Linked DNA regions of Sus scrofa. The protein of the gene in region 1 purifies or fractionates together with the protein of each later gene. This does not show direct contact. Links are inferred from orthologs where the notes say so. Each region holds a gene or a part of one and is shown on either strand. Other genes may lie near its edges.

The links. Proteins that work in one complex are often made in the same cells at the same time.
Region 2: the proteins of VBP1 (region 1) and PFDN1 purify together in Homo sapiens (affinity purification with mass spectrometry; 4 studies listed by BioGRID and IntAct, counting the BioPlex papers as one, with this or other methods). This does not show direct contact. The link is inferred for Sus scrofa from reciprocal best matches to the Homo sapiens genes VBP1 and PFDN1.

The regions. Positions count from the first base shown.
Region 1 is NC_010461.5:125,487,007-125,494,553, forward strand, and holds part of VBP1 (prefoldin subunit 3), read left to right. Parts: intron 1-2,200; coding exon 2,201-2,325; intron 2,326-7,547. UniProt on the Homo sapiens protein: Binds specifically to cytosolic chaperonin (c-CPN) and transfers target proteins to it. Binds to nascent polypeptide chain and promotes folding in an environment in which there are many competing pathways for nonnative proteins.
Region 2 is NC_010444.4:142,072,901-142,080,971, reverse strand, and holds the start of PFDN1 (prefoldin subunit 1), read left to right. Parts: upstream 1-2,971; 5' UTR 2,972-3,087; coding exon 3,088-3,120; intron 3,121-6,164; coding exon 6,165-6,331; intron 6,332-8,071. UniProt on the Homo sapiens protein: Binds specifically to cytosolic chaperonin (c-CPN) and transfers target proteins to it. Binds to nascent polypeptide chain and promotes folding in an environment in which there are many competing pathways for nonnative proteins.

The DNA.
Region 1 (7,547 bases):
GGTTATTTTTTCTAGATCTTAAAATTTCTACCAAATGATAAAACCAATCCAAATTTTATGTAAATATTTTTATTTTCTCAAAGTAGTTAGAATAGCACAGCACAGTATAAAGAACATTGGTTTCTAAATAGACCAGAGTTTGAATCCTGCCTCTACTTCCCACTTGCTGCTCAGCCTCGAACGTATTATTTTACAACTTTGAGCCTCTGTTTCTTTAACTGAAATAGGCGGTAACAATACTTAGAGAGTTTCCACGAGAAACAGAATGTGCTTTCAGTATTGCAAGTAGATGCTTAATATATATTAGTTTCTGTGATGATAGGACGCAGTACCCTAGTTTGGTTTGTATCTCTATTGCCTTATCTCCAAGGCAGACCATCACTCCAAGACAGACTTCTTGGCACTTTCTTCTGTTCCCTTCACACGTTGTGCTGTAGACATAGCTAATGTTTGTTGAACACTTACTAGTAGCTGTTGTATGTCCTTCTGGGTATTTTACACATGCTAACTCACTTGATCCCCTGTGAGGTGGTTACCTCTTTTTCATTTTGCAGATGAGGAAATTGAGACAAAGCAAAAGGTTTAATAACTTCCCCGAGGTCAGTACATCTAGTATGTGATGAAGCCAGCATTCAAAACAGGCAGCCCCTGTCTTCTAACCATAAACCTGTGCTGCTGTAGTTAATTCTTCTTGCTGCAGTCTAACCTCCTAATAACATGTGCTAGAAACTTCGACCTCACTCAGTCTCTTTCTTCCTACAGTGGTCCTTCTAGGAAGATGCTATCTCCATTTTACATGCACGACTCAGCCATCGCTTCAGCCTCACCTTTTCAATTTCTTTTACTGTGTCTAGCTTGATGGCTTCATAATTCACTCCCTTGCTGTGTTTCTCTTCCTTTTTCTTCTTGTCTTGTTTTGGCTAAAATATTCCCTTATTGCTAGTAAGCATGGATAAGAATAATGATTTAGAGATCCCATAAACTGTAAGATTTTTGAATTTAACTTACTTACAGTGAAGGACTAAGGTTCTTTAAACCATTGGAAGCCTCTTATAAAGTCTCCTTAAAGTTTCCATGTAGTTTCACCTATTCCTGATCCTGATCTAATTAACAAGCTTTTCTTCAAGGACCCAGCATGTGTAGAATACATTAAAGAAAAAAAAAATGCCGTTCGGTTTTATTGCTTTTCTTTTGCTTAATTATTCCTGTAACAGAAGATCCTTCTGTTTGCCCTTTAGGTTTACTTTATTTCAACCACTTCATACTTAAGGAGGCATTTGTGGCTTGTCTTGGGAACCCAATGACCATATTTAGCATGACTTCTATGGCAGCACTTGTTTAGTTAAAAATTTAAGTAATAAAATTGGTAATTTTGGGAGTTCCTGTCATGGCTCAGTGGTTAATGAATCCGACTGGGAACCAACCATGAGGTTTCGGGTTTGATCCCTGGCCTTGCTCGGTGAGTTAAGGGTCCCGCGTGGCTGTGGCTGTGGTGTAGGCTGGCGGCTACAGCTCCGATTGGACCCCTAGCCTGGGAACCTCCATATGCCATGGATGTGGCCCAAGAAATGGCAAAAAGACAAAAAAAAAAAAAATTGGTAACTTTGGCATACAACCTGTCGAGTCATTTTTGTGGCTGCGAGTGCTGCATGGAGGATGCATAAAGCAGACAAGGTCATCTTTCTTTCCTTGTATATAAATAAAAAGAGGAAGGTGGAAGAGGAATAACTTATATACACAGTGTATGTGCGCTCTCTGAAATGGCCTCTAGCTTTTTATAACTGCTTCTTTCTTAGTTAAAAAGCAAGCTTTTGGAGAAAGAGAAACACAGGCTCTTTTTCTGTCTTAAAAATAAACTTAGGAAGTTCCCGTCGTGGCGCAGCAGAAATGAATCTGACTAGGAACCATGAGGTTGCAGGTACGATTCCAGGCTTCGCTCAGTGGGTTCAGGATCCCGGCATTGCCGTGAGCTGTGGTGTAGGCTCGGATCTGGCGTGGCTGTGGCTGTGGTGTAGGCTGGCAGCTGTAGCTCCCATTTAACCCCTAGCCTGGGAACCTTCACATGCCATGGGTACGGCCCTAAAAAGACAAAAAAAAAAAAAAACAAAAAACCCTGAAAAACCAAACAAAAACCAAAACTTAAAGCAAAAATCAGAGGTATAAATTCTCAAATTTGTAATGTTTTCTTTTGCTCTTAAAGGAAGATGTAGATTCCTTCATGAAACAGCCTGGGAATGAGACTGCAGATACAGTACTGAAGAAGCTGGATGAACAGTACCAGAAGTATAAGTTTATGGAGCTCAACCTTGCTCAAAAGAAAAGGAGGTAAGTGCAAAAAGGATTACGTTTTTAAAATTAATATTGTGTGGCTTAAACTTTTAAAAGATCAAAACATAATTTACATACAAATAAAATGTCTGTGTGTTGGCTGTTCAGTTTGATGAATTTTGATAAACATATCCACTTGTGTAACCATTGCCCAGATCAATACATATAGGACATTTCTGTTACCCCAGGAAGTTCCCTCCCGCCCCTTTCCTGCCAACCCTGCCCACTCCCAGAGATAACCACTGTTACGATTATTTTCACCATGGTATGGTGTTGTGTCAGTAAATTAGTTTCTTTTTAGTGCTGAGTCATTTTTCATTGTATGTGGATGTAACCACAATTTTGGTCTATTTTTTGTCTGTTTGCCTGTTGATAGACATTGGGTTGTTTTCCCATTTGGTCTTAAGTCTTTGTGTGGACATATGCTTTCATTTCTCCTGGGTTGCCTAGGGGTGGAATTGCTGATGTGTATGGCAAATGTATGTTTAATCTTGTAAAAAACTGCCAGAAGTCCTCCAAGGTGGCTCTACCAGGTTGCACTGCCACCAGCAATTTATGGAGTTCCTCATTCTCGCCAGCACTTGGTATTGTCAGTCTAAATATGCTTATGGAAACATAATAGAAAGAATTTTTTTTTTTTTTTTGTCTTTTGTCTTTTTGTCTGTTGTTGTTGTTGTTGCTATTTCTTGGGCCGCTCCCGAGGCATATGGAGGTTCCCAGGCTAGGGGTTGAATCGGAGCTGTAGCCACCGGCCTACGCCAGAGCCACAGCAATGCGGGATCCGAGCCGCGTCTGCAACCTACACCACAGCTCACGGCAACGCCGGATCGTTAACCCACTGAGCAAGGGCAGGGACCGAACCCGCAACCTCATGGTTCCTAGTCGGATTCGTTAACCACTGCGCCACGACGGGAACTCCAATAGAAAGAATATTGAGGTCCTTAATTCCAAGGCCTCTAGGATCATAGCATCTTAAATGTCTGGTTCTTCCTTTTCATTTTGCTGAGGTTATAACTTTCCTAAGACTTCATAGCTAATAGACATAGGACCAAAGTACCCTTGCTCTCAATCCTGTATTCCCCTATATTTTTATAGTAGCTTATGAAGTCAGTTCATAGTGATGAATATTTATGGATCTGCTATGCACAGGTGCCAGCATTCTTCTGGCAGTTAAATATTTCTGGAATTCCTCATAGGTACCAGATATTATTTTGGGTGAAAGAAGGTCTAGTATCTGCTTTCAACAGTGACATAGTCTATAGGGGCCTGATAGGTATGTAAATAAGTATGCAGTCAGGGTGCTTGTGGTGCAGAGCAGTGAGCTAATGGCACAACAGGGGAAGGTGTGATCTGAAGGGTACAAAGGGCTCAGGGGAAGCTTCCGAGAGGAGCAGATGGCTGTGTAGAACTTTGAAGGCTGGTTATGAGTGTGGAGGCAAACTAAAGTGAGGAAGGGTGGTCTGGGCATGAGGGTACCACTTCTGCAAAGATAAAAAAGTTTATTTTTTAGGTATATTTTCCCATTTGATTTTGATGACAGTTGAGGAACTTTGAATAAGGGCTGGGTGTTACATGATATGAAAAGTCGTTGACATGGACAGATGAAGGTTGATGAAAGAAAAGGATAGAAAACGCTCTGTGCTCATTTTGGAAAAAATGTATATGTGCACAGAAATATCTGGAAGAAGGGACACTAATATTATATTAACATTGAAAATCTTTGGGTGGTGGGAATATGATATTTTTTCTTATTTGCAATTAAATGATTGTATTTCGGGAATGATCTGGGCTGGAGATAAAAACTGGGGAGTCATTTAAAGCCGGAGTCTAAATGAGCTGCATCACCAACAGAGTTTATGTAAAAACACAGATCGGGGCATTGCAACAGTATGAAGTTAGGGAGACTCAGTGGATCATAGGGTTCTGGAAGCCAAGCTAAGAAAGTGTATCATGGAGGAGGAAATGATCGCCTGGGCCAAATGCTGCTGATGGCTCACCTCAGTGGGATAAGGACTGAGAATGGACTCAGCAAAGTGGAAGTCACTGCTCATCTGGACGGGAACAGTGGTTCCAAAGAGAATGATAGAATTAGAGACAACAGGAGTTCCCGTTGTGGCGCAGTGGTTAATGAATCCGACTAGGAACCATGAGGTTGCGGGTTCGATCCCTGGCCTTGCTCAGTGGGTTAACGATCCCGCGTTGCCGTGAGCTGTGGTGTAGGTTGCAGACGCGGCTCGGATCACGAGTTGCTGTGGCTCTGGCATAGGCCGGTGGCTACAGCTCCGATTCAACCCCTAGCCTGGGAACCTCCATATGCCGCGGGAGCGGCCCTAGAAATAGCAACAATAACAACAACAACAACAAAAAAGACAAAAGACAAAAAGAAAAAAAAAGAAAAAAAAAAAAAAGAATTAGAGACAACAGATATGGAAAACTTTTGTGAAGAGTTTTATCCATTTTAATAGTGAGTTGGTTGTCTTTTTATTTGTAGGAATTCTGTATATATTGGACACTAGTCCTTTTAGGTTATATGTATGAGACATTTTTCTTTTGTAATGTATCTTTATTTCCCTTTCGATTCTTTTGATGAGTAGTTCTTTGCTTTTTGGGGGCTGCACCTGCGATATATGGAAGTTCTCAGGCTAGGGGTTGAACTGGAGCTATGGTTGCCGGCCTACGCCACAGCTGCATCCAAGCTGCATCTGTGACCTACACCACAGCTCACGGCAACGCTGGATCCTTAACCCACTGAGCGAGGCCAGGGATGGAACCTGAGTCCTCATGGATGCTAGTCAGGTTCGCTAACCGCTGAGCCACGACAGGAACTTTGTTTTCTTCTAAAAGCCTTAAAATGTTCCTTTTCACATCTAACTTCTTAAGCCATCAGAAATTTATTTTTATGTATGGTATATGGTAGGCTTCCAATTTCTTTATGTTTTTAAATAGATACACTGTGGACATACTGTTTGACTCAGCACTTTAATTTTAATGTACTCTGATTTAACAGTCTTTTCCCTTAATGTTTAGTGCCTTTTGTATCTGTTGAAGAAATAACCTAAGTTTGTGAAGATATTCTTAGTATTTTGTTCTCAAAGCTTTGTTGTTTTATCTTTCACACTTAGATCTGTAATTCATGAGATATTCAGAAGTATGTTGCTAAATTTCGAAGCAGTCATGGGATTTTCAAGCATGTTTCTTTGCTCTTTCTGTTTTGTACATTGATAGTTGTATCTGCAGTCTTGGGCCGCTCCTGCGGCATATGGAGGTTCCCAGGCTAGGGGTCTAATCGGAGCTGTAGCTGCCAGCCTACACCAGAGCCACAGCAACGTGTGATCCGAGCTGTGTCTACAACCTACACCACAGCTCACGGCAACGCCGGATCGTTAACCCACTGAGCAGGGGCAGGGACCGAACCCGCAACCTCGTGGTTCCTAGTCGGATTCGTTAACCACTGCGCCACGACGGGAACTCCACACGTTCTTTTTCTTTCTTTCTTTCTTTTTTTTTTTTTTTTTTTTTGTCAACAGTGCTTTGTAGGTTTGTACATTGCTTTTCCATTAAGAGTCAGGTAGTATCTAGTTCTCTTACGATGATACTCACTGCCTAGATCCATTAATTATGAGTTGCGAAATGACGATGTTTTAATTCAGTTATTTATTTTTTACTTATTAGTAAGTTGGCATACTTCTATAAAGAGAAATGTCCCTTCACGTACTGTTTGGTAAAAGTGGCTGCAAGAAATCAGCTCACCCCTCAGTTTGTTCCCTTGCAGGAGTAGCCCTGTAGTTCCTCTCACCTCAACAGCTGTCTGCTGCCTTGTTACTGAGGAAGTGTGTATTTTCTCTGGCTACTTGAACAGCTAGAGGTAGGAGTGCTGGTCTGCTGCCATCTTAACCTGAAACAATTTGTATCCTTTTTTTTTTTTTTCCCCTTTTTACTGAGGCATCTGCAGCATATGGAAATTCCTGGGCTAGGGATCGAATTGGGCCACAGGAAGGCCAGATCTGAGATCTGAGCTGCATCTGTGACAATGCTGGATCCTTCACCCACTGAGTGAGGCCAGGGATCAAACCTGCATCCTCAGGGAGGCAACATCAGGTCCTTAACCCAGTGAACCACAGTGGGAACTCCTTTTTTTTGTTTGTTTTTTTAAAGCTTTTTAGTCTGTTTTATTCAGTATATGCGGTTTGAAAATTATGTCTTCTTGGATTCTCTTGTGGTGTAGCAGGTTAAGGATCTGGCGTTGTCACTGTAGTGGTTCAGGCCACTGCTGTGGTGTGGGTTCGACCCCTGCCTAGGAACTTTTGCATATCACAGGCATAACCAAAAACAGAAAATTATGTCTTCTTGGTGAGTTTAACCCTATATAAAATCCAGCCTATCTTTTTAGATAAAGTAATTTTTTTTTTTTTGGATACTTTCAAGATCATCTCTTTTGGTTTTTTGTTTTGTTTGTTTTTGTTTTGGCCACATTTTTGGCATGTGGAGGTTCCCAGGCCAGGGATCAAACCTGCACTGCAGCTGTAACCAGAGCACACAGTGACAATGCTGGATCCTCAACCTGCCGAGTCACCAGGGAGCTCCACCATTGCTTTTATCTCACTATAAGTTGTCTATGTGAGCATATCTCTCTCAAACTCTTTCTTAACTAACTGTCAGCTTCCTGTAACCATGGTTACCTGTGTGGATTGCTTTTATCCACAGAAGATTTTTCTTTTGCTGTGAGCTGTGAGTCTGTATCAGCCGTGGACCACTTGAGGCCCATTAGAAGTTCTTTCACTTAATAGGAGAGCTCCCCCACTGAGCTGTGAGTCAGGGGCCCAGGCTCAGGTCTGCGGCTGGTACTGGCACCTACTTTTCTCTAGTCCTCACTATTCAACTCAAAGCTTTTATTCCCTTTTACTTTTTTTCTAGAATTTCCCTCTCCTCTGTGATATCAGCTATGCAACAGAAACCGTTTTTGTGCTTGATTTTGAGTTGTTTTGCAGCAGATGACTGTGTAGTTTGGATACTAACTTTTCTGTTTTTTGTTTGTTTGTTTGTTTTTGTCTTTTTGCCTTTTCTAGGGCCGCTCCCACGACATATGGAGGTTCCCAGGCTAGAAGTCGAATCGGAGCTGTAGCCACCAGGCTATGCCAGAGCCACAGCAACACGGAATCCAAGCTGCATCTGCGACCTACACCACAGCTCACGGCAACGCCGGATCCTTAACCCACTGA
Region 2 (8,071 bases), on another chromosome or scaffold:
CCCACTAGCGAGGCTATGGACATGGCGGTGTTGAGTCATCTTGGATCACATGGAGAAGACAGAAGGAGCCTGGGAACTGTGCCGTTGTACACAGCACACACTTACCCTACCTTGCTTATGCCTGGATGGTTGTGACAGAGAAAGAGGAGCTTCTGTCTTGGTTCCGCCATTGCCATGTTGGATCTCTGTTGCAGCAGCTGACCTTATAGTCTAACTAATACAGTCCATTCACAGGGGGAAGGATTATTCTCATTACTCCTGCAGAGTGGCTTTGAGACTGCATTAGGCTAAATCGTAAGAATTAACTTTCTCTTCTCAGTAAAAGATATTATCATTGCTCAGGTCAAAACCTAGGAGTCTTGGAGTTCCCGTTGTGGCTCAGTGGTAATGAATCCAACTTGTATCCATGAGGATTCGGATTCAACCCCTGGCCTCTGAGTGGGTTAAGAATCTGGTGTTGCCATGAGCTGTGATATAGGTCGAAGATGTGGCTCGGATCTCATATTGCTGTGGTTGTGGTGTAGGCCGGCAGCTACCGCTCCAATTGGACCCCTAATCTGGGAACGTGCATATGCCACAGGTGCAGCCTTAAAAAGCAAAAGCAAAAGAAACAAAAGAAAACAAACTCCCCCCCAAAACCCCCAAATTAGGAGTCTTTATTTTTCTTTTAGATTTTTTCCCTGCTGCTGTGGGCAGGGAGGTCACAATGAAAGAAAGAGAGGGATCAAAGATGATTTGTAATCTCCTAATAAGTATGCTGAGTGAAAGATGGCTAAGAGTAACATGCTGTATGATTCCATGTCTATAAAGTTCTAGAATATGCAAACAAATCTAAAGAGACTTAAGAAGATCAGTAATTGCCAGAGAGATTGGGGGGGGGGAGACTAAGGGGGAAGCAGAAGGAGCATTAGATAACTTTTGTGGCGATAGATTTATTATCACAATTATGAAGATGGTTTCCTAGATGGGAACTTATCAAATTATACACTTTAATATATTCAGTTTATTATATGCCATTATACCTGAATAAAGATTTTTTTTTTAACAGAGAGTTTCCTGGTGGTCTAGCAGTTAGGATTTAGTGGTTTCATTGATGCAGGGTTTAATCCCTGGTCTGGGAAGTGAGATCCCGCATAAAGCAGCTGCCTGATAACTGTGTGACAAGTAATGTAAACAAAAACAAAAACAATAAAGGAAGAGTTTGCTGGACCTTGAAAGGCAAACACAACAATGCTAACTGCTACTTAATTACAACTATTTATCCAGTATCTACTTGTGCATTGTGTGAAACTTGGAACTTTTCACCTTGATCTTATTCTTTGCCCACATAACACTGTTAGGGTAATATTATTATTCTCTCTCTGTCTCTGTCTCTCTCTCTCTCTTTTTCTTTTTCTTTTCCCCCCAGGGCTGCACCTGCAGCATATGGAAGTTTCCAGGCTGAGAGTTGAGCTGGAGCTGGAGCCGTTGGCCTATGCCACAGCCACAGCAATGCAGGATCTGAGCCTCATCTTTGACCTACACCACAGGTCACAGGCAACACCGGATCCTTAACCCCTTGAACAAAGCCAGGGGTTGAGCCCTAATCCTCATGGATGTGAGTTGGGTACATTGGCACTGAATCATGATGGGAACTCAATAATATTGTTATTTCCATATTAAATAAGGAGACAAACTCTATTGCTACACAGTAAGTAGAACCAGACATATCTAGGCACAAGGTAGACCAAACCTTAGCTACCTTGGAATCTGTCTGGTTCTAAATTACCTGCCCTTTCCTCTCTCTTACAGGTTTTTAGACTAGGCAAAACATCCATTTCTTTCATTTCTAAAAGTCCAATTACCAGCCATCCCTCTGGTTCAAATGCCAGATATTTTACATAAGATTCTCAAAATGTGGTTTGCAGACCACTTGGGGCATTTGCAAAGGTGCAAATTTCTGGGCCCTGATCTCAAAGATTCTAAGTAATTAAGTTTGGGATAAGGACCAGAGAATCTCTGTGTGCGTGTTTAAAATATACATATTTTATTTTATTCATTAATTTTTTTGTCTTTTTGCCTTTTCTAGGGCTGCTCCCTTGGCATATGGAGGTTCCCAGGCTAGGGGTCTAATCGGAGCTGTAGCCACCGGCCTACGCCAGAGCCACAGCAACGCGGGATCCGAGCCACGTCTGCGACCTACATCACAGCTCACGGCAACGACGGATCCTTAACCCATTGAGCAAGGCCAGGGGTCGAACCCGCAACCTCATGGTTCCTAGTCGGATTCGTTTCTGCTGCGCCACGACGGGAACTCCAAAATATATATATTTGAAACAAACTAATTTGGTTTGTGAGAACCACTGTGTCAAGAAGGTCTTCCATGAGTGTTCAGTATAACTAAGTTCTTTGGAGGAACAGTTCGGCTAAGCCTTCCGGTTTTCTCTATATTGGCATGTATGAGGCGTGGGCTGAATTTTCGTTTTTTGTTTTTGTCTTTTTAGGGCCGCAACATATGGAGGTTCCCAGGCTAGGGGTTGAATCAGAGCTGTAGCTGTCGGCCTGCATCAGAGCCACAGCAGCCATCCCAGTCGTGTCTGTGATCTCCACCACAGCTCAGGCAACACCGGATCCTTAACCCTCTGAGCCAGGCCAGGGATCGAACCTGCAACCTCATAGTTCCTAGTCCGATTCGTTTCCTCTGCACCAGGATGCAAACTCCTGGGATTCTTTGTCCTCCCTGACAGCACAGGGACCCTGACTGAAGAGGTTTTGGCCTCATCTACATACATCTCAATTTAGCAGCACAAACTAAGGTATTTGTCAAAAATACTTAAAACCATGCACGAAATCTGCGCGTGGTGCGGTGTCTGGAAGGATGTGGAGAAACAGGCCAAGCCTATAGGTCACGAGAAACATGTGCTTTTAATCGGAATCTAGGGTTCTCTGGGTGGAGGGGGGATTCCTAGCGCTGGAGAGCGGAGGAAACCAAGCAGCTCGGCTCCTGCGCAGGCGTAGAAGGAAAGGGGACGATCCGCCAAGGCGCGCCCTTCCCCCACCCTTCTTTCCGGCCTTCTCCCAGCGCGCAGGCGCAGAGAGGGAATCAAGATGGCGGCTCCCGTGGATCTGGAGTTGAAGAAGGTAAAAGAGGGTTTTGAGCAGGCAGGCTTCTCTTTGGAAGCTAACGGGACCGTAGACAAGAATATCGAGTGAGACCCAAGTCCCGCGGAGGGAAGAAGGTCCCAGGGCATTGGGGAATGCTTTCCCAGAGTCCTTCAGGCGGGACTGGGTCGCCTTAGGCTGGAGTCGGGGCGAGCAGCTCTTTGCTGGAAGAGAGCTGGTAGGGCTGGGGCTGGTTAAGTCTGGCGGGCCGATAGCTGTTTTGAGTCCCTTGTTCCGGGCTCCAGAGCCCTTTCCTTGTTCTTGGAGCCTTCAGTCCTATTGTAAGGCCTGAAGTGAGCGTTTCAAGTTGGAGCCCCTTGAGACAGCTTGCCCGAGCTGAGGCATCCGTAATTCTGCATCCTAATTTGCTTTGACAAACTCCAGGTCCAACCTGTGTTTTTAGGCCACTTCTTCAATCCCGTACCTCTAAGGTCGCGACATACTCTTAAATCAGATATTCTCAGCACTGTTTGGCTCCCTCCCTAGCCCCTCCACCCCTCCCCTTTTAAAGGGTTTGTCAAAAAAGAAGCAAAGTCTAGTGAAAGTTTTCTAAATGGAATCGGTATCAGAAGGAATTGGGTTTCTCCCTTCCCATAGTTGCCTGTAAATGTGTTGTTACTCAGAGACGTTTTTGCCACTTAAAGAATTGTCAGGATTGTGACACCGCTACCAACTCAAAAGCATATCTTTTTTTTTTTTTTTTTTTGAGAGGGGGATGGGTTGGGGATTGGAAAGGATCTTAGACTTCATCTGCTCTAAACTTTTACTTTTCTAGAAATAAAAACAGTTACAGAAAAGACTCAGGCCATGGTTAGGATCAGAATCCAATATTTTCTGCCTTCCCGCCTTTTGGCCATTAGTTTAGGTACTTCAGAAGGGCATCTTGTACTAAAACCATTCCGGTCAACCTTTGTGTCAGACATAGGGCAGGTGAAATAGCTTTTGCACCCAATAAGCAAAGCTGTTTACTATTGCTCTGAGGATTTGTGTATGTCCTTTTTGCCATTTTTGTTTCGAAACTTGTATCTTTAGTCTTTACGTGGTCTCTAATGCTGTCCCATCTTAGCTTTAACAATATACTAGGTTCCTTAGCAAACTGTGTCGTAAAGCATCCTAAAAGCCCCCCTCCTTTTTTTTTTTTTCTGTTCAAATTAAGTCAGGGTTTAGTGAAAGAGCCAACAATAGAGTACAGCTGTGAATGGGTTTACCTCAGTATTATTTGAATTTGTTGCTAGGAAACCTGTGGGCAATGAATGCAAACTAAGAAAATGTTACGGACTTAAATTGATTGCAGACAAATTGATTACAGACTTAAACGATTATAGACTTAAATGAGTACAGACTTGAATTGGGTAGCTTTGACAACCAGTGAAATTAACTCAAAAAAACTTGTTTAAGGATATTCTAATGTCTTTATAATGTCTTTTTTTTTGGTCATTTTTGGCCACCCCACAGCATATGGAGCTCCTAGGCGAGGGATCAGATTGGAGTTACAGCTGCGACCTCAGCTGCAGCTGCAGCAATGCTGGATCCCTAATCCACTGTGCCGGTGGGGTTTGAACCCTCATCCCAGTGGCTCCCAAGACTCCACTGGTCCCGTTGCGCCACAGTGGGAGCTCGGGTCTTTTTTTTTTTTTTTGAGTGGAGACAAGTAGGACATTTTAGGCACCTCCTCTAACTCTAAACAAAATTTTGAAACCTTACTAGTAGGTGAGAACAAAGCCAGAGTAGAAGTTAAATAGCAGCTTTTGCCATGCATTGCAGCCACAAAAATTATTATTCAAGTATTAAGGCATAAATTTGACAGGATGTGAAAGTCATTCTAGGCTCTTCAACAAGAGTACCTAGGAGCTTTTTGAGTTAAGGGTACCCAAGGGTCAGATTTGGCTTGGTGTGTGCCTCTGTCATGATATAATTCTTCTTCCAGTGTTTCAAATATTTTCTTTTTTGTCCTTCTCTTAAAATATGCATTTTCTGAATATTACTATAGACAGCAGAACGGAAAGGTTTTTGAACTAGAAGTCAAGAAATGGACTTAAGAGCTCACTTTTAGACCTCTTAGTTGTTCAACCATGTGCAAGTCATTTATATCTCTTTCAAACATTTAGTTACTTAATTTATAAGCTGTGGTGATGAAACTGCTTGCCCTAACTCAGGATTGTTGAGAAGAGTAAATGAGGTATTTATTATTACATCTATTAGTGTTCTCATATTAATATTTACATATTAATAGTTCAAAAAATGTGGGAAAGTGCTTTGAAAACTAGTTGTAAAATATAAATGTAGTGAGTAGTTACATTTATGGTTCTTGTTTTGGATCTCTGGGTTTCATCCGCTGACTGTTGCATTTAGTGCCTATATTACTCCTTGGGTACCTGCTACTTGATATGTTTATTATTTACCATGTCTTTGTTCTGCTGCTTCAAATAGACAGCATCTTTTGAGGACTGGGTAAATTCAAAACAGTTGACCCTTGAACAACACAGGTTTAAACTGCGGGGATCCAATTGTACATAGATTTTTAAAGGTATTACTACAGTACCACACACTGTGTGATTGGTTGAAATCCAGATGTAGAACCAAGGATACAGAGGAACTGCTATATGGAGGGTCAGCTGTAAATTACACTGGGATTTTTTTTTTTTTTTGGCCATGCCTAAGGCATGTGGAAATTTCTAGCCCAGGGACTAAATGTGCTCCACAGCTATAACCAGAATCACAGCAGTGACAACTCCAGATCCTTAACCTCCTAGCCAGGAGGAAACTCCTGTACTCAGCATTTTGACAACATGGAGAGTCAGTGCCCCTAAGCCTTGAGTTGTTCAAGAGTCAAGAATATTTAGCATAGTGGCTTGATCATTTATAATTATATGAACGTTTATTGATGTTTGCGCAGGTAACAAACATCAAATTTTATAACTTTGTCTCAGCAGGCTTTATTTTAATATGTTTAAATTTGACTTAAATATTTTCTGTAAAATGTTTCACTTACTAAATCAAGGACTTTTTTTTTTTTTTTTAAGGCCTTCACAGAGCTTCAAGCTAAAGTTATTGACACTCAACAGAAGGTGAAGCTTGCAGACATACAGATTGAACAGCTCAACAGGACAAAAAAGCATGCACATCTTACAGATACGGAGATTATGACTTTGGTAGATGAGACCAACATGTATGAAGGTGTAGGAAGAATGTAAGTAAAATATATCCTTAAGGGGGTTATCTTGGAAGAGGTTTTGTCTGGATTAAATTGTAAAATTTGTTCACTTTAAAATTTAAATTAAAATATCAGAGTAGCTTTAAAGATTGTCTAGTCAATATCTTCTTTTTTTTTTTTTAAATGAGAAACTGATGTCTTTAATTTTTTTCTTTCTTTTTTTTTTTTTTTTTTTGTCTTTTGTCCTTTCCTAGGGCCGCTCCCACGACACATGGAGGTTCCCAGGCTAGGGGTCAAATCGGAGCTGTAGCCGCCGGCCTACACCAGAGCCACAGCAACGCAGGATCTGAGCTGCATCTGAGACCTACACCACAGCTCAGGGCAATGCTGGATCCTTAACTCATTGGGCAAGGCCAGGGATGGAACCCGAAACCTCATGGTTCCTAGTCGGATTCATTAACCTTTGAGCCGCAATGGGAACTCCTAATTTTTAACTTTGAAGTACATTTTTAAAATATTTATTTCCCTGTTCTTCTCTCTACTTACGTACATAAGCGTGTAACTTGAATGATAAAAACATGATTTGTTATGAAAAGATGTTTATAGTAGTTTTATGGGTGAAGATTGATTTAAGCAGTTGTAGTTTTAACCTCCCCTTAGCAACCTAATTATTAGTAGTCATTCACATTATAAATCTTTTAGTTGTTTGACTAGTGTTGTGAAATAAAAATACTCAGTTGTCATTTAAATACACTCATTCTGTCATACATGAGAAATCTAGTAAATCAATTTACCTATTGTTCTAATTATTATTATATGATTAACCACCTACATTTCACTTTTTTCCTTTTAAAAATATATTACCCTTATGGGAGTTCCTGTCGTGGTGCAGTGGTTAACAAATCCGACTAGGAACCATGAGGTTGAGGGTTCTATCCCTGGCCTTGCTCAGTGGGTTAAGGATCCAGCATTGCCCTGAGCTGTGGTGTAGGTCTCGGATGCAGCTCGGATCCTGCGTTGCTGTGGCTCTGGTGTAGGCCGGCGGCTACAGCTCCGATTTGACCCCTAGCCTGGGAACCTCCATATGCCGCGGGAGCGGCCCTAGAAAAGGCAAAAAGACCAAAAAAAAAAAAAAAAAAATTACTCTTTTGAGAAAAAATAGACCTGCTTTTTGTTTTCTAAGTAGTTAAATAGGAATGGAGAAGCCCTTAGCTACAGGTCACATTCCATCACAATGAGCTCAAAGAGACAGATTTTTTTTTTTTTTTTTTTTTCTTTAAATAAGTAAGAGAGGTACAGGAGGAGGGTTTTCTGAATTTTGGTCTTTGAATATTACTTACTAAGTGGACCATTACTTAAGTTTGGAGATCTTTTAGTTAGAAAGGAATTTGACCTCAGTCTTAGGATGACTTGTTTTGTGATTGATTGGAAGGAAGCATAACATGTGTAACATTTAGTAATGGCTTTGGAATGACATCATGAGAAATAGATCCTACTCTTGACTAGCTAATCCATATCTTTCTGGAAAAGAGATAGAATATGATAAACTGATTTGCTTTCTCAGAATAAATAATATACCACAAATAAATTTTATCTCCAGAGTTCATATTTTTCATTTTAGCTTGTTTTAAAAGGAGATTCTGAGAGTGTGTTATTGGGACACAAATTGGAATGAGGACAGAGTAGAACCCTTGAATGTGTCTATGCAGTGTGAACTGTGTTGTTGTATTTGCTATGGGATAATTTTATCCTTAATGTGAATATCCTTAAGTCTTA